2 linked regions of the Oryzias latipes genome follow. Each later gene encodes a partner of the first gene's protein in a complex. Links are inferred from orthologs where the notes say so. Each region holds a gene or a part of one and is shown in the gene's direction. Other genes may lie near its edges. The genes, in order: pak1 and dcp1a.

Region 1 (11,745 bases):
CACACAACTGGTCAAAGGTGTCCAAGTTATTTTTTTTTTACAGTTCAAGATAGTAGAGTCCGTAAAAAAATATTCAAATCGTATAAAATTAAAGCCCTTTCCATTAAACTGGAAACAGATTCACATCTTAAATCTGTTTATGTTCAATGGAAGTTGGTCAAGATTCAACGGTCTGCTGTGCGGTGTGTTGTTGTAACACAGCTCTTTGGTCTTGGTGCAGAGGTTGTAGTCTGACTGTTGAAGGGTGTGGACAGGTGGCTTTTACTCAGATAACCAGTTCAAACCGGGGACATCACCACAGGTAAAGAGTGGGGAACAGAAGGGCTTCTTAAAAACAAGGGACTGGTCTGTAAAGGACGGGAGTTTTACTCCATGTTGGAGATAAATACTTATTTTCTGCACTATTATATAAATCGATTCTATAAAATTAAACGTCTTGCAGAATTTGTGACTGATTAACTTTATTTTACACCAAAGTGTCTATAGATCATTTTTAGTTAAAAAGATCTTCGCAACTTTAATTTGACCCCCAACTGCGAATGACCTCTAAATGCTTTAAAGATTTAGTAGTTCATTATGTTGTGGGTTTCATTAAACCGCATCTTGATTGCTGATTAACTTAGGATTCAGCAGTGCAGATAGGTGGCAGGTTCCTCATTCCTGCTGTTTCCTAAAAAAAAAAAAAGCAAAAATCTGTGTATAAATACTTTTTGCATTAAGTTTGTGGAAGTACCATTGACTGTAGGAGAACAGGACTGTGTTTTGTAGGCGTCACCCATAGGAAATAGTTTACTTCCAGCCAAAGTCACACTGAGGACACATCAGTCTTCATTTTTTGGTGATGTGGACACCAAAGCGATTGGTCTGTGTTAACGTTTTTATGGCAACCACTCTGGTTGGGCGTGGAGGTCAGCAGGCCCCTCCTACTTTTATTTAGGCTTCTGTAGTTCAAGTCATGTTTTGAATAACTTGAACTACAGAAAAAAAAATATCATGAAAAAAGGCAGCAGAGCAAGAATGATTATTCTGACAAATAGAATGACAGCAATAGCTGTCCTGAGATACAGTCAATGGTATGTACATTATTTAGTGTGTAGTGGATGTTGATGTGGGTGAAGCTCTGACCTACATAGGTCCATCTCCAGGGTTTGTGTGTTCACTGAAGCATTTAGCAGACCAGGTTAGCCTGCAGTTTGTGTCTGTTTTTTTATTATTTTTTATTTTTTTTACAAAAACCAGCTCTTAAGAATATATAACTGTATGTCTGTAAATGCAGGGTATGGTTTTTACTTGGGGAGCAATTGGAAAGCTAAATTTGTCAAGATTTATTAAAAAATAAATATAAATAAACAAAGAATTAAATAAAATGGTCGTGAAATCAGGTAATTTCCATGACTGATCTGACTCGTGATTGGGCGTTTGGTCTAGGCCTTGCCCAGCCCTCACTGTGACCCTTCTGTGTCCGGGCAGGAGCGGTCGGCCGCAGCCTGTCTGAAGATGTCCGATAATGGGGAGGTTGAGGACAAGCCTCCAGCTCCGCCCATGAGAAACACCAGCACCATGATCGGTTCGTGCAACAAGGACGCCGTCCCGCTCAACCACGGCTCCAAACCCCTCCCACCAAACCCAGAGGACAAGAAGAATAAGAAGGACCGCTCCATCCGATTCATCCTGACGGGCGGAGGCGACAAAAGTGAGTTTTGATCACTGTTTTCATTTCTTTCTACTCATAGATTTTAAAACTAAACTCAAACCAGCTTGAATCTGGTTCTAAATCCATTTCAAAAACAGAGAACTTAAGGATTTCAATGAAACCTACCTTTAAAGCAGCGTTGAGAGCAGCGTTGTTTGGCCTGCAGGCGCTACCAACGCTTTGACCCGGGCCCTGGTTGAGCGGCTGCTACACGCATCTTTTTCCCGCTCTTTACCAGCCATGCCGACTCTTTATTTAAATTGTATCAAATAAATATAATAAAAGAGTAAATAAAACAATAATTCAAATTCAAATTAATTTTATTTCTATAGCACCTTTCATGTAAAGACAACAGCTGTACATAAAAACAGACAAGAATGCAAAAACACCACTGCAAAAAGTAAATAAATAAGCCCCTCATAATAGAATACACAAAAACAAGCACAAGGAAAAGAGAAACGACTTTGGAAGAAAAAACCTTAAGAAGAGAGAACCAATAAAGTGCCCTGTCCTCCTGTTGGCCTGGGTGTCAATAGACACAAACCCCCCAGCAAAGGGGGAGAAAACACTTGTAAACTGTCTAAAATGTAGAAGTGATAAATAGAAAAGTTAAAATATAAAAACAGCTGAAATATAAAAAATTAAAATAAGTTAATGCATACAAAGTCTAAAACCATGGAAATATAAATAAGAATAAGTTAAGATGTTGAGAATATAAATAAATAATAAAAAACACACATTAAACAAATAAAAATGTAGTAAAATATCATAAAATATAACAGTAAAATGTTTAGATCCGCCATAGAAGATCTAATTTAAAGGTGAATTAAATAGATAGGTCTTTAAGTTCCGGCCCCCCTCTATGTTTGGTCCGGCCCACTGAACAATATCAGAGACCCATGTTTGTTTGTTTTTTTAATCTGGCCACACGATCAAGATGTGACATTTTCTTCCCCCCTTCTGCAGTCTGTGGTCCAACCTGAAATCCTCTAAAATCTCTAATAGGCAGAACAGAAGACAGTCGTTCCTTTCTATGTCGTAGTTCATCTTTCCCGGTTTAGCTCGTTCCTATAGAGCGATCATGCTGACTTTTTTGAACAGGACACCTGTCCTTATTGGCTAGAGACCCTGTCAATCAATCTCCTCAGTCCATGCCGAGTCTTCTGTACAGAAACGCAGAGCTCTTCAGATCAGAAATCTGTGATCGATGATCAGATCTTTGTTTTCATTCTAAGATCCTGGACCTAATTTCTATGAAGGTTTGAAAATTTAAACACAAGAGAGAAAAGGGTGAAAATGTTCATGTCTGTCTGAGAAAAGTGTATAAAGTGGGCAGTGAGGAGTTTTACTGCCATAAACGTCTGTAATCATTCTCCGTGGATTTCACAGATCACCGTTATTTTTAGAACGTAACTCCTCCTGCAAGAAACGAGGAACTCTGTGCAGAAAATGCAGAAATATGCGTAGCTGCAGCAGAAGACAGAGAAATATGCTTTTCATTATTAATGGATGAGAAACAGACGTGCAGGACACACAACTGCTCAGTTTGAGCACAAACTGTGAGACGAGTGATGAGCTGCAGCCCTCAAAGTCTTTATTAGGGTTATGACGGGAAAGGATCGACTATTTATTTATTATTATTATTTTTAATGTATCAGTATATTTTTTCTGAATTTTTGTCTTTGAAAATCATAGTGTTATTTGGTCATTGTTTTATTTTATAAATAATGTTATTTATTTTATTAAAAGGATCATGAATGAATGAAACTTTATTCAAATAGCACTTTACAACTCCTTGAAGGTACCAACGGGCTTCACAATCAAAAAGAGATCTAAAATGGGAACAAAAGTTTCAAACTAAGACTAGAATATTCTGTAGAATATAAATTTAAAATCCAAATGTTTTCACCCAGATTCCATGTTATATCATTCTCACTCCACACATCTGCTCCTGATCCGGCCCTTCTATTGAATTTTAGAACCCAATGTGGCCCCCGAGTTAAAATAATTGCCCACCCCTGCTCTATCACATATGGTCATAAATTTGGTTGACAGATAAAATTGGATCTCATCTCTCTCAGTTTCAGAACCGATTACCAAGACTTCAGTTTTGTCTTGGTTGGAAGGCAAAAAGTTCCCTCCCATCCACATTTTTATCTAAAATATAATTTAAAAGGCCATCCATGGGTCCAGTGTCGTCAGGAGACCCAGCTACAAACAGCTGAGTGTCATCAGCATAGCTATGAACGTTAATGCCGTGTCTCCTGATGACAATTAATAATAATCCGTATTGTTTCTGTGCATTTACTTAGAAAATAATTAGTGCGCAAGCAGAATAAAAGTTTGAGTATTTTTATGTTGAACGGGATAGAAATGTTGTTGTCGTAAGAGGAGATGAAACTGAAATTGAGATCATTTGTGAATTTCGCTAATAAGCTTTAAGTTGTAGCCGTATTATTTTAGTTACACAGTCACAAGTTTTATATTTATTTGAAGTTTCAAAAATCTCTCCTTTATAGGTTCCAGCTGCCAAAGTTCAAAAGGTTCCTGTTTTTCTTTTCTTTCTTTCTGGGTTTCTTCTGATTTCTAAAACACGTCAGTGTTTTGTTTGCAGAGGAAATAGACGTTTTGTGCCGTCAGTCCCATTAAGATGGTTTGATCAGCAGTTAATCAGTTAACAGTTAAGCAGTTAGTCAATTATATTTTTCTCTAGTAGTACTGAGTTTAGCATGTTCAGGGGCCATCTTTGTCAGCCGATATGTTTGTTTATGAATTTAACTCTTTCAAATATGTAAAAAACAAAAAAAAATGCACAATTTAATGACATTTGACCCATGATGCTTTGCAGCTGACTGGTGGCCTTGTCTCATTGTTTGTCATCCCAGGAGACTCCATGAAATGTCATTTCCCAGGGGATTTCATTCTATTTCTAACATATGGCGTCTCCTTTGTCCTTTTCATCTCCAAGCTTTCTCTTTTGTGCTTTCCTTTTATTTTAATACCTTATGTCAGAAGTTTTATTTAATTTTGCGTTATATTTTTTTCTTATATTGTTTTTGTCATTATTTAAATTATTTAAATCTTTATTTTTAGGAAAGCCTTTTTTTGTTTGTTTCTCAGTCGTGTAGAACCATTTTGGTTTGTTATGTATGTATGTGTATCCATTAGGGATCCAATAATTATAATTCACTTTCTCCACAATTCGGTTTAAACCCTGATTTATTTTTTATTTTTTATTTTTTTGGGCTCACTGTTTTGTTTGAGGTTCGATGTATGATTTTTTTTTTTAAAAACAAAAAAAATGACAAAACACTTGAAAAATACTGTTTTATCATTGCTAAATAAGTCGGTAGCAATGAAAAAAGCCCTTTTTAAGCCTGGAGAAGCGTAATTGATAAGGAATTCTTGTTAAATTTAGCACAACTGTTAGACACTTTTAACCTAAACGTCTGTATGCAGTATGGATGCAGCCAAAGGCTTCCCCCACAGTGCAGATGTATCATATGGTTCACCTTTCAACCGAAACTGTGGCATCTATTACAGTATATTCACTAAAAATGACTGAAATTGTGAGTTTTCTTTCAGAAATGTGCTATATTAGGTTCTTTTTTGCCTCCTTATTAATCCTCCTTTCAACAATCTTTTACAAGGCACTGAATAACATTTCTTTAAAGTTTTTCCATGACTTTGTTTTTCAAATCTTTCAGTCTGACGATACCCTTTCTGTCCTTTTGGTTCAGCCTATAAGAAGAAGGAGCGTCCAGAGATTTCTCTGCCGTCTGACTTTGAGCACACCATCCACGTTGGCTTCGATGCCGTCACCGGGGAGTTTACAGTGAGTTTGTGCGCTTCTTCTTCCTCCGTTGGGGCCGTTGATGACGTCGAGGTGCGTGGATCGGGGCAGGTGGTGGGGGGAGGGGGGGTCTCTGAGAAGGCTGCATGCAGACTGCAAGAAATACACTTGCAGGTTTTCTGTCGCCCGTCTTGATGGTTTTTTATTGTTTTAAGCTTCATTTGAATGTTTTTGACTCCTGTTACTTTTACTGACCATTGGTCAGTGGTTTGTGTCTTCTATGTGAAGGATTTTGCACCAAGAAGTGCGTAGTGGCCTTTTAATTCTGTTTCAACGTTTGATGCTGGTTTTAAGGATGTTTTGAGTTTCTTTGTAGACATTTTAGATCTCTCGGGCAACGGTGGGGCCGTGATAAATTGAGCTTTTGTACCAGCAGTGCATTCTCAACGTTGCGCACGATTACTGTAGATTTATTGGAGGCTGTGGAATCTTTGATTGAATCCACTGAAAATCCAGGATATATTGAACTCCTCAAATTGAAAAAGTTGACTTCGGCGCGCCTGCTGGACTCGGGGGGGGGGGGGGGGGGGGGGGGACTTGTTCGGTCCAGGTTTCAGGATGTCCCTGAAATGTCCAGTTTTAATGGTACTTTAACTATGTTCATTGTTCTGTGTCCTGTGGTGAACTATGTTATGCTGCTTGTTTTCTTGTTATCTGTGATCCCTGATTAAACCGACATTTTAAAAATCAAAAATCTTCTTTTTCTCGTTCCTCTCCTCCAAATGTGTTCATACTTCAACGGATTCGCTGGAGGCGGCAGCGGTGTGTCTGTGCACATTTGTCTGGTGTGCTTACATAACTCTTTTAATTGGTCACCAATGGGACCCTGATGGTTGTGTGTTTGTCAACAACATGCTCTGAAACACACACACATAGGGGCAGAATAAAGCTTTTTAAATAATCACTTTAGACAAAGACGCCTTGTTCCGCTGACTCACTCGGTCTGCATGACCAAGCACTTTTAGCTCCGAGTTACGCAGCGAGTGTGTGCGCGCGCTAGAGTTTTTCTTTTTCTGTAATCTGGGGCACTTCCCCTGATTCTCAATTATGCACACATGTACACGCAAAGAGGCGTGTTTGTAATTTTCGAAGTAACAACGGCGGCAGAGCGGAACCCGGGACGGCGTTTTCCCATAAAGGGAAGGTCAGACTCCAGCAGGGATGAGAGACGGAGTGATGAAGCAGGAAATGGAGGAGAATGTGTGATGGAATTATCCTGACAGATAAGCAGAGAGGAAGAGCGAGCAGGAAAACAAGGAGATGTGACCCAGTTTTGTGTCCAACATGAAAATGGGACCGCCTCGGTTGGACTCTTTATGGGAAACTTTGCCTGACGTCATGTTGATTTATCAAAATAAAAGATTCAAATCTGCCTTTATTGGCATCAAACACATGACACAGCAGCAGGTAAAGTGTGTTTGTGTGTTTGTGTGTTGTGGTAGGGCATGCCGGAGCAGTGGGCCCGGCTGCTGCAGACGTCCAACATCACCAAGTTGGAGCAAAAGAAGAATCCTCAGGCCGTGCTTGATGTTTTAAAGTTCTACGACTCCAAGGAGACGTCCAACAGCCAGAAATACATGAGCTTCACAGGTACACACACACGCACACACACACACACACACATAGGGGGTTGTGCGTCAGTACTAAACAAGATTTACGCTCATGTTATGGAAACTCATTATAAGGCTGCTGCAGAACCCAAATGAGGAATAAACCAACGTGAGCTGTTGGAACGACATGAAATGAGCAACATAAGGAGAAAATATTATTAGTAAAAATTAACATTGATGCGTATATAGATCAAAAGAAGTTTAAAAAGGGCATAGGATGAAAAGATCCATCTTTTTTACACCAGGTTATTGTTTTAAAGTGCAAATGAATAAATATTTAAGTTTTTACTGGCCCTGGTGATACAGATACTTTTGCATCACAATAAAAAAATTAAAACAATTTATTTTGAAAATCAGAGTTTCCCCAGTTTTTTTTATGAACCTTCTTCTATAATTTAATACTTAACCAGAGCACTTTTGTGAAGAAAAAGGTTCAACTATCAACTAGAAAATTCACGACTTAGTCTTGGGACCGGTTAACAAACCAAAGAAAAGTTGTAAATTTACCAGAAAAAAGTCGAAATAGTCAAATTCTGAGAATTAAGTAGTGTATTTAGAGGTTTTTAAGAAGAGGCTCAAGACCCACCTTTTTAGTCTGGCTTTAACATGACTTTGATCATTTCTTATGTCTTTTATTATTTATCTATTTATTAATTAATTTACGTATTTATTCATTTATTTATTTGTAAGGACTATTATTATCTCTGTTTTTAATATGCTATTCTTTTTATTGTTATTTTACCAATGATACTAAGGTTATGTTTTAATCAGTTTACATATTTTATTTTTTAATACCTAACATTCTTATATCTTATTTTAATTTTTATCTTTTTCTATTTTTATTGTTGTTATTTTATGATAATTTTTATTCTGATGTTTTTTACTCCAGTGTTTCCTCTTGGAATAAAAAAACTCAATCTTTTTATTTCTTCGTTTGCATAAAGAAAAACCAATAGAGATATTTGATGACAGTTTTGAACGTTTTTTAAGAGTTTTGGAGCCTGGAAGTCTGAAGCTGTGAATATCTTGCTAACTTTACCGAACTGTTTTTGTGCGCCTCCTGCTGTGCTTTACGCCAATAAAATGTAATCTGTTCATGATATGCAGACCTCTAGTAGAATACTTATTTGTGGTAATAAGCTTGAAATATATGATCATAATAACAAGGAAATAATGATTCAACATCTGACTCCAATAAAGTGTGAAACGACGCGATTCGCCCGTATTCCAGTCACGTGATCGGATTGGGACATCCCTATTTCTTTAGTACTTGTATCACAATTGATGTTAGGTTTCTTTTAGATCATTTTTATAACATGTATCATATAATTTTTTTGTCTTTTTCTTATTGCAGATAAAAACCTAGACGTGTACAGCTCCTCCACCACAACGGTAAGACCGCCTCTGATTCGCTCCCTAAGGACACGTGACACATTTACTCATTTGTGTAAGAAATTAAGCAAAAGAAGAACTCAGAAACTAAAGTGACATGTTTTGTTTTTTCTTGTCTTAGTTCTGTTGGCAAAGTTCATGATGCTGTTGGTTTTAAAAGTTCCTCACCAACCTGCAAGGATTCCACAGCCTCACACAAAGCAGCGTGGAATTATGGTCATTACTCGCTTGGCAGATCTCTTTCATGCCGGTTGCTGTGCGTTGTGTAGACCTAAGAGAAAGAATTCAGTCCTTAGTGCATCTGCTGACTCGCCTGAAAGCGGATTTATCTAAAGCAGAATGGAACAATCCTTAAAGTAGAAAGGATAAAATGAGAGTTTGACAACAAACTCAAACGTAAATGCTAATTTTGTAGCTGGAACGAGGCATTTTTTAAAATTTCCCCACAATACATATTTCAAAAGAAATCTTTTTCAGACTTCTTTTGAAAAATATTTCTCTAAAGAGTAATGTACTAAATATTATTGTGGTAAAACGCGTGTTTCAAAGGAATTTAAAAGCATATTTAGGGAAATCACTACTTTTCCTTTCAACATGGGAGCCCATTTGGTAGAACAGTTGCAATCACAATGGGGCGCTTGCCAGTGTTTCCCCATTGACTGTATATGAGAACTGAACTGAGTGACTCCGCCCCTCTGACGTTTAGAACAGGAAGTACCTGCTGGCTCCAAGATGCCAAAATCCCATATACGTCATTTGAAAAAAAATAGCTGTTACTCAGTCATGCTATTGGTTAGAAAAACAAATTTTATTCTGATACTTTTTTTTTAACTTGTTTTTGATAATCATAACTTTTTTTTAATTATATGTTTTTCTTTATCACAAGTTATTCAGGTTATAAATTTATTCCCTTAAAAAAAAGTATGTGATCCCCGCTGGCCCCCCAAGGGCTTCGCAATTAAAGAAAGACAAGCGCTATTTTATAAATAAAGTTTGATTTGATTTGATTTGAAAAGACGTTTAAAGTTTTAAAGAAAAAGAGTTATTGTGACCCTCACTCGAAAACGTTTGGGGACCCCTGCTCTAGCATCCGTGTGGTGTTTGAAGGTTTGTTGTTTTTCAATCTTCCAATCATTCAAACACCACATGAACGCAGCATTTCTCTAAGTTTTACACGAAGTACATCAAGCCATTGGTGCAACTGGCTCTAAATTGAGAACTAACGTTTTAACCTAAAAACTCTAAAATGCTCTGTTTTAAAATATAATTTTAAATCCAACTGCTTTTCATCCAGATGCCATGTTATTTCTTTCTCACTCCGTGCATCTGCTCCTGGTCCGGCCCTTCTATTTAATTTTAGAACCCTATTTGGCCCGCCAGTCAAAATATGTGCCCAGCCCTGCTGGTAGATGTAAAAATCGCCCTAAAAGATTCAAAATTAAATTAAATATTTACATAACATTCATAAAATATCTTAAACCAAATATATCAACTATATTTTGAGGCCAAAAAAGGAAAAAACAAAGTTCTGATTGTGTGTCGGAATGCTCCTTAATCAGAGACTCTTGCAGTGACAGACTGCTTTTGAACTCGATTTTGTTTCATTTCTGAACGTAATGGTGAAGACAACGATGAAGAACAGCAGGAGTTCCTCCAGATGTACTCCTCTGTCTCCTCCTCTGCATTATGAATCAGCATCTTGTCTCCTCGCCATTTGCCCGTCCCTGCAGCTTGGCCACCAGCCGAGCATCGCGGGCAGACAGAGGAGGAGGAGGAGAAGAAGAGAGGAAGATGTAGCATCACAAGCCACACCTGAGCAGAGCTTTCAGACGGCAAAGGAGATGACGGGAGGCGGGCGAACAAAAAGATGGAGGGAGAGTTGAAAGGGTTGAATAAGACCCAGAGAAGAAGAGCTGAAGACGGGCAGGAGGAATGTCTGCCTGATGAGATTAGGAAGCATCAGAGAGCAGCAGGAAGCAATGATGGGTCTCGTATCGATGATCGCTCATGTAGCCATGGCGTCACTCAGGCTCCTCCCTCTCTCCCCCTGTGACATCATGCAGAGCACCAAAGCCGTGTTGGAGACTCCCGCCATAGCAACCGTATCCGAGGATGAAGACGAGGAGGAGGTGGAGCCCCCGCCGGTGGTTGCGCCCCGTCCAGAACACACAAAATCAGTAAGAATTTACTTTTTTGTTGTTTTTTGTATTATACTTCTTAGTAAACTTTTAGTAGAGACTTTTTAAAGTATATTTCATTTTACACACTTTTGAAAAAAAGACAGATTGGTTTTAAAAGAAAACATTGTTTCAAAACACACTTGGCTACATTTGATATCAAATCAAAACTTTATTCATAAAGAAGTTTTCATACAAACGTAACAGGAAGTGCTTATATACTTTGCTTAAACAGTATGTTTTAAGAAATAAAAGTATGTAAAATTTGTCCAACACAAGAGGCCTTCACGTCCTTTCTCTCTGCTGGACAGAATGAAATTTAAAAATAAATAAATAAAACTTTGGTAAGGAGCAGGCCCACCCCCCCTTCCCCTCCCCTTTGCTGGGAGCTTGGAGCATGAAGCTTGCCCACCTAGCATATTTTAAGATCAGAATTAAGCGCTTTTTCAAACGGAAAATTTCCTCTGCTCCTGATTCACAACAGTTTGGTTAAAGAAATACTCAGAAATTACATTTTATGCTTGATTCTCTTTATATATGTCCTCAATAAGCAGAAAATTGCCACAAGATGTTAAAAACATAAAAAAAATGTTTAATCAGAGTGGGTCTTCAAGTGACTTTCATAAATATTCAATCAAAAGATGAAAATATTTCAGTATTAGTTGGAATGCATGTGAAGTCAGAAGTGTTTTTGCATTTGTAAAAATACATGACACGATGAAAATTTATTTTCACAACTTCTATTAAAAACACAGGAAAAAAAAGCACAAAGTTATGCAAAATGCTAAGAAACAAACTGAAACAAACTTTTCCAATTAGCCTTTGAGCTTATCATAGCTGTCTTTGATGAGAACATGTTATGAAAGTATGCAAAATAAAGGTAAAACTGCTTTACACTTTTACTCACCCTTACAGCGTAAGTCAATATATAGAAGAAGTTTAGAGTCAAGAAGGTTTTCTTCTGACATTTGATAAGGTGTTCGTTGGAATCATCCTCTCCTCATTCACACCAACCATCCC
Region 2 (12,327 bases), on another chromosome or scaffold:
CGAAAAGATCCGTTTTAAATCCAACTCATCGTTGGAAGAAAACACCCGACGACGCAAAAGTGAGCGGAGGCGCTAGCCTGAACGATGACATGTTTTCTGAGCGCAGAACCTGACAGGAGCGCCGAACATTTTCGCCACATCCGGGTGCCTGGCCGCAGATCCGCGGCGTGTGCGACAGGACGCGCTCACACACAGCGCCCGTCAGCCCACTGCTGTCAGTTACTGCGCTGTGGCGGAGCAATGCAGCCATAATCTCCACGGGCGGCATTATTCTGGCATCACTCTTAATGTCAACGCACTTGTTGCTGAGGAGCAACCCTCATTCCTGTCGCAAACCTATTGTTATGTTGTACACATTCAGAATATTTTAAGTAAGTACAAAATAAATTTAAATTCTCAGAAATAATCCAAGAAAATATGTTAGGGGTTGTAGGTTAACCGTTGTGTAACAGTAGCCTCCTAACAGGGTTTGTCCACAATTTACGCATTTTATTAAAAGGAATTATATTTACTCAAAGTTTTCAGCAGAATTTAGTTTTCTCCCATATTAAGCCAAACAATGAATAAAACCAAACCGCTCTTTGGAACAAGTTATCCTAGCCTTTGCTTCTTCTTGTTGGTCATTGTCATATGATGATAAATGAATTACCAACGCCATAAAGCAACAAATCTCAGGACTTACCCCTGAGGGGTCTTCCCCTTATAATCAACGGCATTCAGTCACCCAGCTCCTCTCTGAAGCCTCATAGCGCCGTTTTCTGGGCCAACTCTCCAACAGGGGGAGAGGTAATGAGTTGTTTCAAGCTCTACGGGAAGGTTACCAGTGATTGGATTACCTATGCCTGGATGCAGGATGAAACTACTTCATGGTAGAGCGTAATCCCTCAACAATAATCCCTGCACCAGTGTTCTATTAAGCAGGTAGCAACAACACTGTACCAAAACAATGATCCATCTCAACCCTAAAAGGCCATGACAGACCCATAACAAGCAAGAGGGTACACACATAAATAGCCGGGCTAAAACTACAGATTGAAGCAAAGTCCAAAATTCTTCTGCCTCCTAACAACAATGTTTTACTTTTATTTAACCCATTATTTCACAGCCATTCCTTAATGCTTTAGTGTGTAGGGTCAGCATTAAAACTCCCCCCCCTCATTTTTCATTTTTAAGTGTAATCGATTGGCTTCTACTAGACAAAATCTCTAAACTTTTGTTATAGTTAAACATTTGTTTTATTTTTTGCTTTCACTGTATTGAATAAACCTATCTTAAAAAGGAAGGAAATTTGTGTTTGATAAAAAAAAAAAACTTCTGTTGTAATATTTTTCTAATCCTCTTTATTTCTAGATAACTTTTTTACAGTCAGCTTCTAATTCAAAGGGTTTTTGAGGAGCCTCACAATCTCAGACCACTCATCAATGCATCACAAAAACATCAGAAATATATCTTACACTCTTGGAAAGTTTGTAAATTCCCAATGTGGTATGTTCCACATTTGAAAAGAACATGCTTTTTTGAAGCATATAGATTTAATCATTTCTTTTTCTTTGTAGCATTTTTGGGGGGGGGGTTGGCAATCAACTATTTAATCTTTTCAAAATTTGCTAAAACCTTTCTGGTGAGGCCAAATAGCTTTAATTAGCCTACTAGTCACTCATTGACTCAGGTGCTTCCAATGAGGTTCCTGATTGGGAGCACCTGAACGCATCCACCCTGCTACAGTGGTCCTTAGCTGTACAGTGCCTGAGCAGTTTAGGTCAACTTTGAGGTAAAGTTCTCAAAAACCAAACATTACATTGAGTGAAAGAATAGAATGGCCTGCATAGTTCTGACTTCAACCTCACTGAGCACTTGTGAGTTTAGCTTGACTGTTCAATTCTCCCAAGTGCATAACACAATCTGGTTTAGGACAAATCCTGGTTAAAGAGTGGGATGCTCTCCCACAGCTGAAGGGATTGCTGTGACATACGCTTCTTTAACACTCCATAAAGACTCGTCTATGAAAGCAATAAACTGTTAAATTTGAATGTCTGGTTATTTCCAACTGTACTCAACCAAGCAAAAAACTTGAGTCATGGCAGAGGAAGCTGGTTGGCAATGGCAAAAATGGAATGACAAAAATTACATAGAGACAGCCCACATATTCAACTCTGCTACTCATCGCACAAATTTATAATTACAGGAAATAATGTATAATTTTAGAGGTCAAGATGGCTTTGTAAAAGTTTTTTTTTTAAATAATTGTTAGACAGGCCTACATAATCTATCCAAGCACATATTTTAAGAATTTGTGCTGGAATTTGGCTCACACATAAGCTTAATCACTTAATGAGGAAGATTTTAAGTTGTTGTTTTTTTAAGCAGTCGATCACATGTAAAAATAAATATAAACATGTTCTACTCATGTTTCAAACTACTTTTCAAAATGTAATTCAACACAGTTGAAGCTGTTACATTGTTCGTTCACTTGGTTATTTTTCACCAATGTTTTTATTTTTGATTTATATTTTGATACGTAAACTAACAATGGAAAGACACGGAGATGCACGTTGTTCTGATTTGTTTTAAATAAAATAAATATAAATTAAGGATTTCTATCTTTCTTCCTTTTTTTCACAGAAGTTGCAGAGTTTAGTAGAAGTTGTTTTTTTATTGAACTTCAAACAAACAAATACACATAGCTACAACAGAAAGAAATAAAAAAAGAATAAAATACAAATAAAAGAACAATTAAAATAAAAAAACATTAAAATTGTAGTTTACAATGCTAGGGGTTGTCATACAACATGTAATCTTCAATGAAAATAGACAGTTTTATTGCATTTTTGTTTTTTATTAATTTCAGAGATTTAAAATATTAACTGATCTCTATATCAACTGTATTAAATAATGGTTTGGTTTTGAAATTCTGCTCTTGTGAATTAAACATTTCCCAGATATTAATAAAGTATTGAATGTCAAATAAAATAGATTATCACCAGAAACCATTCCAAATAATATGATGCGCTTTTGTAATTGAATAGAAATAGGAAAGGGAAACTTTGAGGAGCACCAAGAAAAAAAATCCTCCCAAAAATTGTTAACATATATACATTCCAAAAACAGATGATCAAGTGTTTCTATATTTATGTCACAGAAAGAACAGTTATTTTCTGGAAAACCAAAATGTATACGTAGTAGTTCTTTGCACGGATAGACTGCATTCTTACATCAAAATCACATTTTAGGAGGAATTCAATGCCCCCCAGATGGGAGAAAAAGTTTGAAGGAATATGAAACAAAATATTTATTTCATTTTGCAGAAAAGCCCTAAGCCAATTTATTTTAATCATACTATTCAAACTTTCAAAGTCTATGGCTTTAAATCCACCTTCACTGTAATCCTGAATTATTATTCATTTTTTATGTAATGAGTTTTGTTTTTCCAGATGAAGTTAAAATTGCCCTGGTTTCTTGTTTTCCTTGCAGATTTAGGAATTGGGAGTGAATATGCTGGATAAATGAATCTGGATAAACAATCTAATTTAGTGAGAAACATTCTGCCCAGAATAGAAATGTCACGCTGTGACCACATGTTTAAATTTACTTACAATTCACACTTGCTGAGATTTAGTTTTAAACCAGTTGCTTTAGAATAGGAATCTGCGGTTTGAAAGATCTCCGGTATTTGATGACTCTCCTTCATGAATACGGCCGTGTCGTCTGCCAGCTTAGTAATGGCTAACTGTTCTCCCAGGACATTGAGTTTACAGAAACCAGAGTTTGTTATAAGTATTGATAACATTTCTGTTGCTGTTATAAAAAGCAACGGTGAAAATTGGACAGCCTTGTTTAATTCTTTTGTTAATTAAAAATCTGGGAGAAATGCCATTCGGTGAAATAACTACACTGTTCGTATCGTTATAGATTGTTTTAACAAAACTTATGAAATTAGGTCCAAATCAAAATAATTCTAACTAAAACGTTTATCCAGAACAGATTTAAATTAAACATTGAGACACTTTGTAGCTTTGGTTGTGATTCCCCTGAAACAGTTATCCATCTTTTTTGGTATTGTCCCAAAGTTAAGGTGTTTTGGCAGAAGATGTGTGATTTTATTAATGATAAAATTGATTCTTGTTTTGTCTTGTTTTGGAAAGATGTCTTGTTGGGTCTAATATAAAAAAATATGCAAAAGGACTCTTGTTTACTTCTAAATCTTTTACTCATTTTGGCAAAATTCCATGTTCATAAATGTACATTTTCAGGTAGAAAACCCTGTTTCACTGTATTCTTTTCTAAATTAAATCAGTATATCAACAGTATTCGAAATTCAGAGAAGCAAAAAGCAATCAGAACATTGTCTGTATGTGATAGATTCAGTATTTTTTCGTAGAGTTTAACCCCCTGGCTTATAACTATTTCTAGTCTTGTTCTTCTGTTTGTTACAGAAGTGTATTTGATATTTGCAGTTGTGGTTTTTTTTTCATACCTAAAAGTACATTTTTGTAAAATGGCATAATGTGCAATAAAGTTGAGCTTTAAAAAAAAATAGTGGAAGTGGGGAACTATTTTTGAGCGCCGCCACTTCCGGGGACAAGCGAAGTTGAAAGTGTTTCAAAAAAATTCGTCCGTGTAGGTACAACAGACCGATCCAAGATGGAAACTGTAAGTGCGGGACATATGATGAGCTTAGCAGCTCTTCAAAGACAAGACCCCTATATAAACAAATTACTAGATGTAACTGGTCAAGTTGCACTTTACAACTTTAATTCTAAAGTAAACGAGTGGGTAAGTTCATTAGTTACTTTATGATTTTCTGTGATTCGAATGAGGCTTTATCATCATGTTTACTTAGCTCATGGTGCTAGCCCTCGTTAATCAAAACGCGACAGTAGCACTATGTTCACTAAAGCTTTACCGTACGTGGACCTTTATGCTTCGTTATTTTAGCTAATGCTATTTCTAGTCCTTTCAATTTTTGTATTTTTAAATGTATTTCCTTTAGTTAAACTATTGTTCACAGATTCGGCAGCACCTTTTCAGAACATGTTTTGACTTGTAATGTTATTTTAAACATTTTAGGAGAAGACCGACATCGAAGGCACTCTGTTTGTTTATGCCAGGTAAGATTAGCACTTGAACTCGTAATTTGATTGTTTACTTCATCATTGGGTGCTCTGCGCATGTGCACAGGCCACCGTAGGCGTATTTGTAAACAAATCGAGAAAACTTGCCCCAGCCTAGATTTTTATGTTTACAGTACAAAAAATGAATTTTGCTCATCAAACAATTTGCCAAGAAAACTGTACATTTATGATTTAATATAACTGACTTTTTTTTGCCTCAGAAATTTTTAAATCAAGTCATGTGCATTTATTTTCTGTCTTTTTTAGAAAATCATTAGGAAAATTAACAATAAAACTTGTTTTTAAAAATTGCCAGATTATATTTACCTTTAAACAAAGAATTGTAAAAACTAGAAATGTTTTTATCAATTTTGAAATATCCAACATTTCACTGTCATAAAAGTTTTTTTCAAGTGTTTTTTAATTGCTTTGTCAACAGTAAACAATGAAGCATTATCAACAGAGTGATGTTTGTTCCTTTTAGGTCTGCTTCTCCTTATCATGGCTTCACCATCATGAACAGATTAAGTACAGTCAACCTTGTGGAGCCTATTAACAAAGACCTGGAATTCCAACTGCAGGATCCTTTCTTGCTCTACAAGAATGGCAACTGTAAGTGGTTTGAATAAAAATCCTCATCAAAGTATGGAAGAGTTGTAATCATTAATTTAATTCAAAAGTGCTTTATAATGATGTTCTATTTAAGTAGATTTCAAGGAATAGTGATCTTTTGAAGCTACAAGGTATTCATTAAAACCAGGATGAGGCTGCCCACATGATTATAGAGTGAAACGTCTTGAGTTGAGATGAAGACATGCTGATTTAATGCTTAGATCACATTTTTTGTTGAAAATAGGAAGTCGTAAAAATTTCTGACCACATTGTCGATACAAAATTAGAATAAAGCACAATTCACTGAGTAATCCAGGACATTTTTGCCAAAGTAAAATGGAAATTTTCAAGTTAACTCTTGTTTTTTAAATACGCCGTTTTATTTGCAGCTTTTTTGTCCATTTCCTTTATTCTTTGTGAACCCACCTTAATGTATAAGTCATTGTAGTGCACCGCGGATTCACAAACTGTCAAAAGTGGCTGTCATACCTAGTTTGTGAACAATCTATTGTTCACAAATGCTCAAATAATTCTGACAGTACCTCTGAACATTCTGGATAAACACCTCCCCAGTGTTCGGTGGAACATCTCTTCTCCTTTTTGCTTGAACTCATGGTGACTTCTTGAAGCATTAAGCAGGAACACTTTGTCATTCATGGCCTACAGCGGCCTCGTAAACAAGCGCTTCCAGCTGGTTTTGCAACAGTTATCCTTCGCATTTGGGTCAAAAAGCAAAAAGAGTTCAAAGTTTCATTCATCAAACTTCTTCTGCTATAATTGTTTTAGTTTGCTGATTGTTCAATCCTGTAATTTCCTCCTGGAAAAATGGGTCAAATAGAAAAAAATTGCGCCATACTAGATCTTCAAAAAGTAGCTGACAGCACTTCCACCAAGATAATCAATGAGGAGTCTGAGCAGAAGTTTCATCAAAGCGATGAACAAAGAATTCGACTGCTTTCCCATTTGTTTGCTGATGAGAAAAGTTAGCATAGCCAAGGTTAAAGTCAAAGTGGATTGTTCTCCTTTGGGCTTTGGTTTTCCCAGCAGCCTGGCAGGTATGGAAGCCATGATGCAGTGTTTTGTTGGTGATCCAATATAGTCTGCTTCTCCAGTAGCTTCACTCAAGTCTTCGGGGCTTTTGTCATCGCTTACTTCCTTTCTGTCAGCTTTAGTTTCAAAAAGATAAAATGAAGAGCAGTTTTCTCAGGAAACATTAGCTGATAATGCTCCTTGAGTTGAGGTGAAGATACATCCGTCTTGGCAACTAAGCTTTTCTCTGCAAACGTTAGTCGAAGTGGTTTTTTTTTGTTTGTTTGTTTTTCCGTCGGTTGGTTTTCAGTCCCGTCTCACTCTGTTAGTTTATCCACTTGTTTGGAGAGAAAAATGTTTCTGCGCTTTTTCTCCTTTAGTGTAGGTTTGGCTTTGAAGGTGGAGATTCCAATTCTGATCTTGAAAGTCCTGCAAAAGAACAACCCACCCTCTGAAGGAGAAATGTCACCATCAAAAACGATCAGGATCCAAATATAATTCTCCAAATAAAGGGTTTAAATGTTTACGTTTCGCTCCTGTGAGTGGTGCAGAGCTCACTGCAAATGTGCTTGGATGTGGAGAATAGTGTTGCAGAGAAACACTTGGACACACCTGTTTACACCTCATCCTTTTCCCTTTGGACGCTGATGGTGCTGCAGGGAGGCAAATGTTTTGGTTGCCGGGTTACTGTTGCTTCACAAGAGATTCAGACACCGGGATTTTACAACACACTTGCAACATAAAGTAATAACAACCAGATATTATTTTTACAGTTAAACCTTTTTGTAATTACATTATTTTACATTTCAGTAGTAGTTTGATCTGTGCGATCAAAGTCCTTTCATAAACTTCAGTTTTTAGTTTTCCACATCTGGTTCTTGGAAGAATTCTGTGAACTTCTTTTATTCTATCAGTTTTTTTACCCATTTTATTCAAACAGATGTTTAAACTTTAGGATTATTAAGTAAGCTTTAATATTTGATCTTGTTGTTGTTGAGAACTAATGATTAAATTAATCATTCACAGCCTTTTGGGGTTATTTTTTTGCATTACTGCTTTACCTAACAGAATGTCTGTTTCTATATTTCTTCTAGTGGGCATCTACAGTATTTGGTTCTATGACAAGAGGGACTGTCGGCGCATAGCTCAGCTGATGCTCAAGTAAGTGAGCTGAAATGTACCCAATAAGTTAGTTTATTAATGAGGTAAAACTGTAGGTGAATTCAAAATCCTATTTGCATTAGTATTTCAGACGTGTAAATGTACCAAGGAACCAAATGAAAAGTTTGAAATGATACAAACAGTGCTGTACGGGACGTTTATAGTTGAGTCTCTTTCAGGATCGTGAAACAGGAAGCAGACCATGCTCAGAGAAAGACCCCAGAGAGGACGGAGGCCGCAAGAACCAATGGGATCACCGAAACGAAACCTATTGACATCCTGGAGCTGCTTAGCAAGGCCAAGGAGGAATACCAAAGAGTAATTACAAATAAAGTCTTACTCTGTTTCACCTTTAACTTAACTTTCATTTTTAAAATGTCGACTACTTTGTTTTAAGTGGTCTTCTTGGGGTGTTATTTTTAGTTCTAGTGGACTTTAACGGGTAAGATGAGGCCAATTTTAACTGCATTTTGCTTGATTTTCAAATGTGACGAAGGCCCAGGCAGGGGAATCGGAGATGTCTGTTGACACAAGTGTTAAAGTGGAACATCCACACAGAGCAGCGTCACCCGAAAAGGTATGTGCATCGCACAGGCTTAGTGAGAACCGTAAGTAAGTGAGATTTTGGGACCACAAGCCATTTGACATTTGGGTGATCAGTAAACTGAAAGCACATCTATCTTCATTAGTTCTGTGTCGGTCAGTTGATTGCTTGGTTAACAGAGTTGCTCTCCTGCTCTCATCAGAGTTCTCATACAGTGGTGAAGCAGATCACAGTTGAAGAACTCTTTGGATCGTCTCTGCCTAAGGAAACCTCTCTCTTCAACAAAGCTGCGCAGGAATCCACTTCTTCCAGTGACCTCCCTGCTTTTGTGCAGAAACCAGCGTATCCTGTTTCAGTTCATCAAAGTCCGCTCCTCACAGGCCACGATCCCGGGTCACGCCGGCAACAACAAGCCCCTAATCTAATCCCTTCTCCTTATGCAATGAACCCCGGTCCGGTTTTACAGCATGTGGTCCCACGGCCCGATTCTCAATCCCACTGTTCGGTCCCTCCTCTGATGATGCCTTCAGCTGGTTCGGAGCACCTCGCTGCATCGTCTGGTCTGACCGACCCTGCAACGCCTTCCACAGCCTTTTTGAGAAAGGAAATACTGGATTCAATCAAACCTGTGATCCCTTCTATGAATTCAGACGTCCACAAGCCCATGCTTGCACCCAACTTCATCCCAAACACTTTGGTTCCACCCCACAGCTTCCAGGAACACAACATGGACTTTTTCTCTAAGCCTCCAAACCTCATTAAGCCCATGTCTGTAAGTCCCGATTTGTTTGCTAAACTCATCAATGAGTCTTCTCTACCTTTCTCCCCTCAACATACAAGCAGAGAGCTGTCTTTGTGTTTGCAGACTCTCCCCATGAGTCCAGGTCCAGCCGTTCCAGGGTCAGAGATCTCAGTGCTTCTCTCTCCGAGTGTTTTCCAGCAGAATGTCAATAAAAACCCCTCAACAGCAGCGCCAGCGGTCCCTCCTGCGGCCTCTGAGCCGTCTTCAGCATCTGGAGGAGCTTTAGATTCTCTCCCAACCGCCTGCAGTAGAACTCAGCTCCAGGAGACTTTGATTCATCTCATCAAGGTAACCCAGTGGTATTTGACAGAAAGTGTGATGTTGGGAGGGTCAGAACCTTCTCCTGTATCACACGGTGATAAAAAAAATATTGGAGAATGTTACAGGAAAGCTTTAGTTCCTGTTAGATTAAAAAAAAAGAATAATAACTTTTTGATTATTATTAATTTTTTTTCAAAAATGTCTGGACTTTCACCGTACTTACTTCCAGCTCCAATGAAATGAAGTGGCCATTTTTTCACGATGTGGACGCTGCCATGTTGAAGCCAGACAATGTCAGTAAGAAGCGATTGGTCTTAGTCAGCGTTTCTATGCCAACCACTCTCACCAATCAAGAGTGAGCTTGTTGGAAGTCCACACCCCTACCACTTGAAAGCAGGATGGGCTTCATGAAAACCGTCAAATGTTTGGAACGTTAGACGCGGGGGCCAGTAAGCACCACACTTTATTGAGGCATTTGATTGGCCTTATATAACTTGAATACCTTGCACTACAGAAAAAATCATAGTTTTTAAATGTTAGAAAAGGTAGCAGAGCAACTTCCCAATAGAAGTCGATGGGATTTACTAATGATTCTGTCTTTAAGATATGAATCTAACTTTTTGTTTTGTCTGACTTTAACAGAGTTTGTTCTCTTTTGTTTCTTGTTTGTCCAGACTGACTCAGACTTCCTCAGTGCCATCCATAATGCATACCTGCAGAGTTTATCCAGAGATTTAGTAAACATGAAGCTATAGTCCTCACAGAAAAAAAGCTGAAGATCACAGGAGACACAAGAAAGGATTAACAGGGCATGCTCTACATCGCTAACACTGATGTCCCGGACATGTGGATCAACGTTTATTCTTCTACGATCAGAGAAAAACTTCTTTATGGAACAGATGTGGGAACAAGAAGACAGATTTTTGCTTTTCAGACTTTTCAAAAGAAAAGAAAATGTCAAACCACTGGCCAGATGTTGGTACTTTGTGGTTTCATTTTATTTTGAAGGACAGGACTACCATAACAGACGTTTAGTGAGATCATCGTTTTCTTCTCGTTTGGACTGTTGATTGGTTTTTCAGCTATAATAACAAGTAAACTCTGCTGTGTCTTCTGTTCATCACACAGAATTGTGGAGTTGAAGATTATTAGAAGAGTTATGACATTTATCGTTGATTAAACCATTTTTATGTGATTGTCTAGAAAAGCACTTACAGCTAGAAATCTCTTAATTATGAGAAAGTCCCTATGAATGGGTTCATGTTATGGTTTTGTAGAGGAGCTTCCTGTTGACCCCTCCTTGTCTTCTTGCATCTGTTGTCACATCTCCTTTATGAAGTTGGGGTGTGATGTGTGACAATACCACCACATGGGGCAAATGTATACTACCCTCAGGATTCTGCAGTTCAATTATCATTTAAAAAAACTCCAAAAATATCTGAATTCTCCCAAACAGCTATTTTAAAATTAACCAAAGGTGGAGCAGAGGAGCTTTTGATTGCTCCATCCCAAATATATATATTTTTTTACCCCCCCCCCCGAAGCCAAATGATTGAAAAGAAAAAATCACCTTTCTTTCATGTGTCTGTTTACAGTCTTTTTTATTTTTTTTTTGGTTTTCATTTTTATACCTGGATCATCAAATATTTGGTTGGTGAACTTGACTTGTGTATGTGCGGTAAAAATATAACACAGCACCAAAAAACAATGAAAACTGACCTAATGCTTATTCAAAACAGCTTCCAATATCGTCAAAAATATAGACCGGTGATGCCAGTAAAGAGGACAAATCTTACATCAGTGGTCATAAATGGAAAGAATAAACAAGATTTAATGGACAATAAAGAATTTTAGAAAAAAAATTAAGTTAAAGGTGTAACAACTGAAAGAAATCTCGATTTTCATCTAATTTATTTAGTATAAAAACCTAAACTTTAAGCATTAGTTCAGAAATAAAGCAATGTATTTTGTCTTTTTGGTCTAAAAAGTACACTGACATTTCATAATGATGGCATTAATAGCTTTAGGTCAGCTATTTGGATGTATGTGTTTGCTCTGAGTTTAAAAATTAACATCCATTTGTTTAAAAAAAAACTTTTTCTGTTATTTTGAAATCAATACATGATGTATTGATCTCATTGGAGTATGATACATTTACATTAAAAGCATAATTTGCTCTCATTTTTTGTTAAATAAAAATTGAATAAATGTATTTTTAATCCTGATTTCATATGTTTTACAGTTTAGCTTTAAAATAACTAATGTGGGTTTGTGCTAAATTATTGAAAGACATGTTTTGGTTTTACTCAATTGTTTGGCTTTTTGTGGTGTTAAATTATATAAATGTAAAATTTTCCCAATGCATAATGGTTCTAGAAAAATTCATCTTTACAAAAAGAACATTTAGATTGTTTTACAGAAGGTTTTCCCATAAAACATTGTTTTTATTTTATTCATTTTTAAATCTGGTAAATGTGTTTAATTACATTTGACCACTAGATGTCACTATTACCATGCGTGTTCTGGAAAAGGAAACGCCTCTACAGGGAACACGTGTTCCAAGTCATTTTCATCTCAACTTCAAATTTAAAGGCAAACTTTTTTTTGTTTCCACTGAACTCTTACATTTTTTGTGATTTATATTTAGAAAAGGCTATGTTTTACTGATACTGAGCTAAGTTTATTATCTAGCCCTTTTTTGCATCTTAATTTAGATTCCCATCACTATCCAGGATGTGAAATCTTGCAATTAATTCAACCAATTCGTGCTTTTAGTGCCTTTTACAGTGCTCATATAGATGTTGAAA

The links.
Region 2: pak1 (region 1) and dcp1a share a complex: the UniProt entries of both Homo sapiens proteins name them as parts of the cytoplasmic complex. The link is inferred for Oryzias latipes from reciprocal best matches to the Homo sapiens genes PAK1 and DCP1A.

What each region holds. Positions count from the first base shown.
Region 1 is NC_019871.2:4,526,548-4,538,292, forward strand, and holds part of pak1 (serine/threonine-protein kinase PAK 1), read left to right. Parts: intron 1-1,470; 5' UTR 1,471-1,497; coding exon 1,498-1,693; intron 1,694-5,433; coding exon 5,434-5,528; intron 5,529-6,988; coding exon 6,989-7,136; intron 7,137-8,510; coding exon 8,511-8,548; intron 8,549-10,611; coding exon 10,612-10,725; intron 10,726-11,745. UniProt on the Homo sapiens protein: Protein kinase involved in intracellular signaling pathways downstream of integrins and receptor-type kinases that plays an important role in cytoskeleton dynamics, in cell adhesion, migration, proliferation, apoptosis, mitosis, and in vesicle-mediated transport processes.
Region 2 is NC_019865.2:7,298,635-7,310,961, forward strand, and holds dcp1a (mRNA-decapping enzyme 1A), read left to right. Parts: upstream 1-4,602; 5' UTR 4,603-4,641; coding exon 4,642-4,773; intron 4,774-5,067; coding exon 5,068-5,108; intron 5,109-5,595; coding exon 5,596-5,723; intron 5,724-7,846; coding exon 7,847-7,913; intron 7,914-8,092; coding exon 8,093-8,231; intron 8,232-8,409; coding exon 8,410-8,490; intron 8,491-8,659; coding exon 8,660-9,229; intron 9,230-9,322; coding exon 9,323-9,547; intron 9,548-10,194; coding exon 10,195-10,275; 3' UTR 10,276-11,881; downstream 11,882-12,327. Other genes in the region: cacna1d (voltage-dependent L-type calcium channel subunit alpha-1D), read right to left, coding at 683-716. UniProt on the Homo sapiens protein: Necessary for the degradation of mRNAs, both in normal mRNA turnover and in nonsense-mediated mRNA decay. Removes the 7-methyl guanine cap structure from mRNA molecules, yielding a 5'-phosphorylated mRNA fragment and 7m-GDP.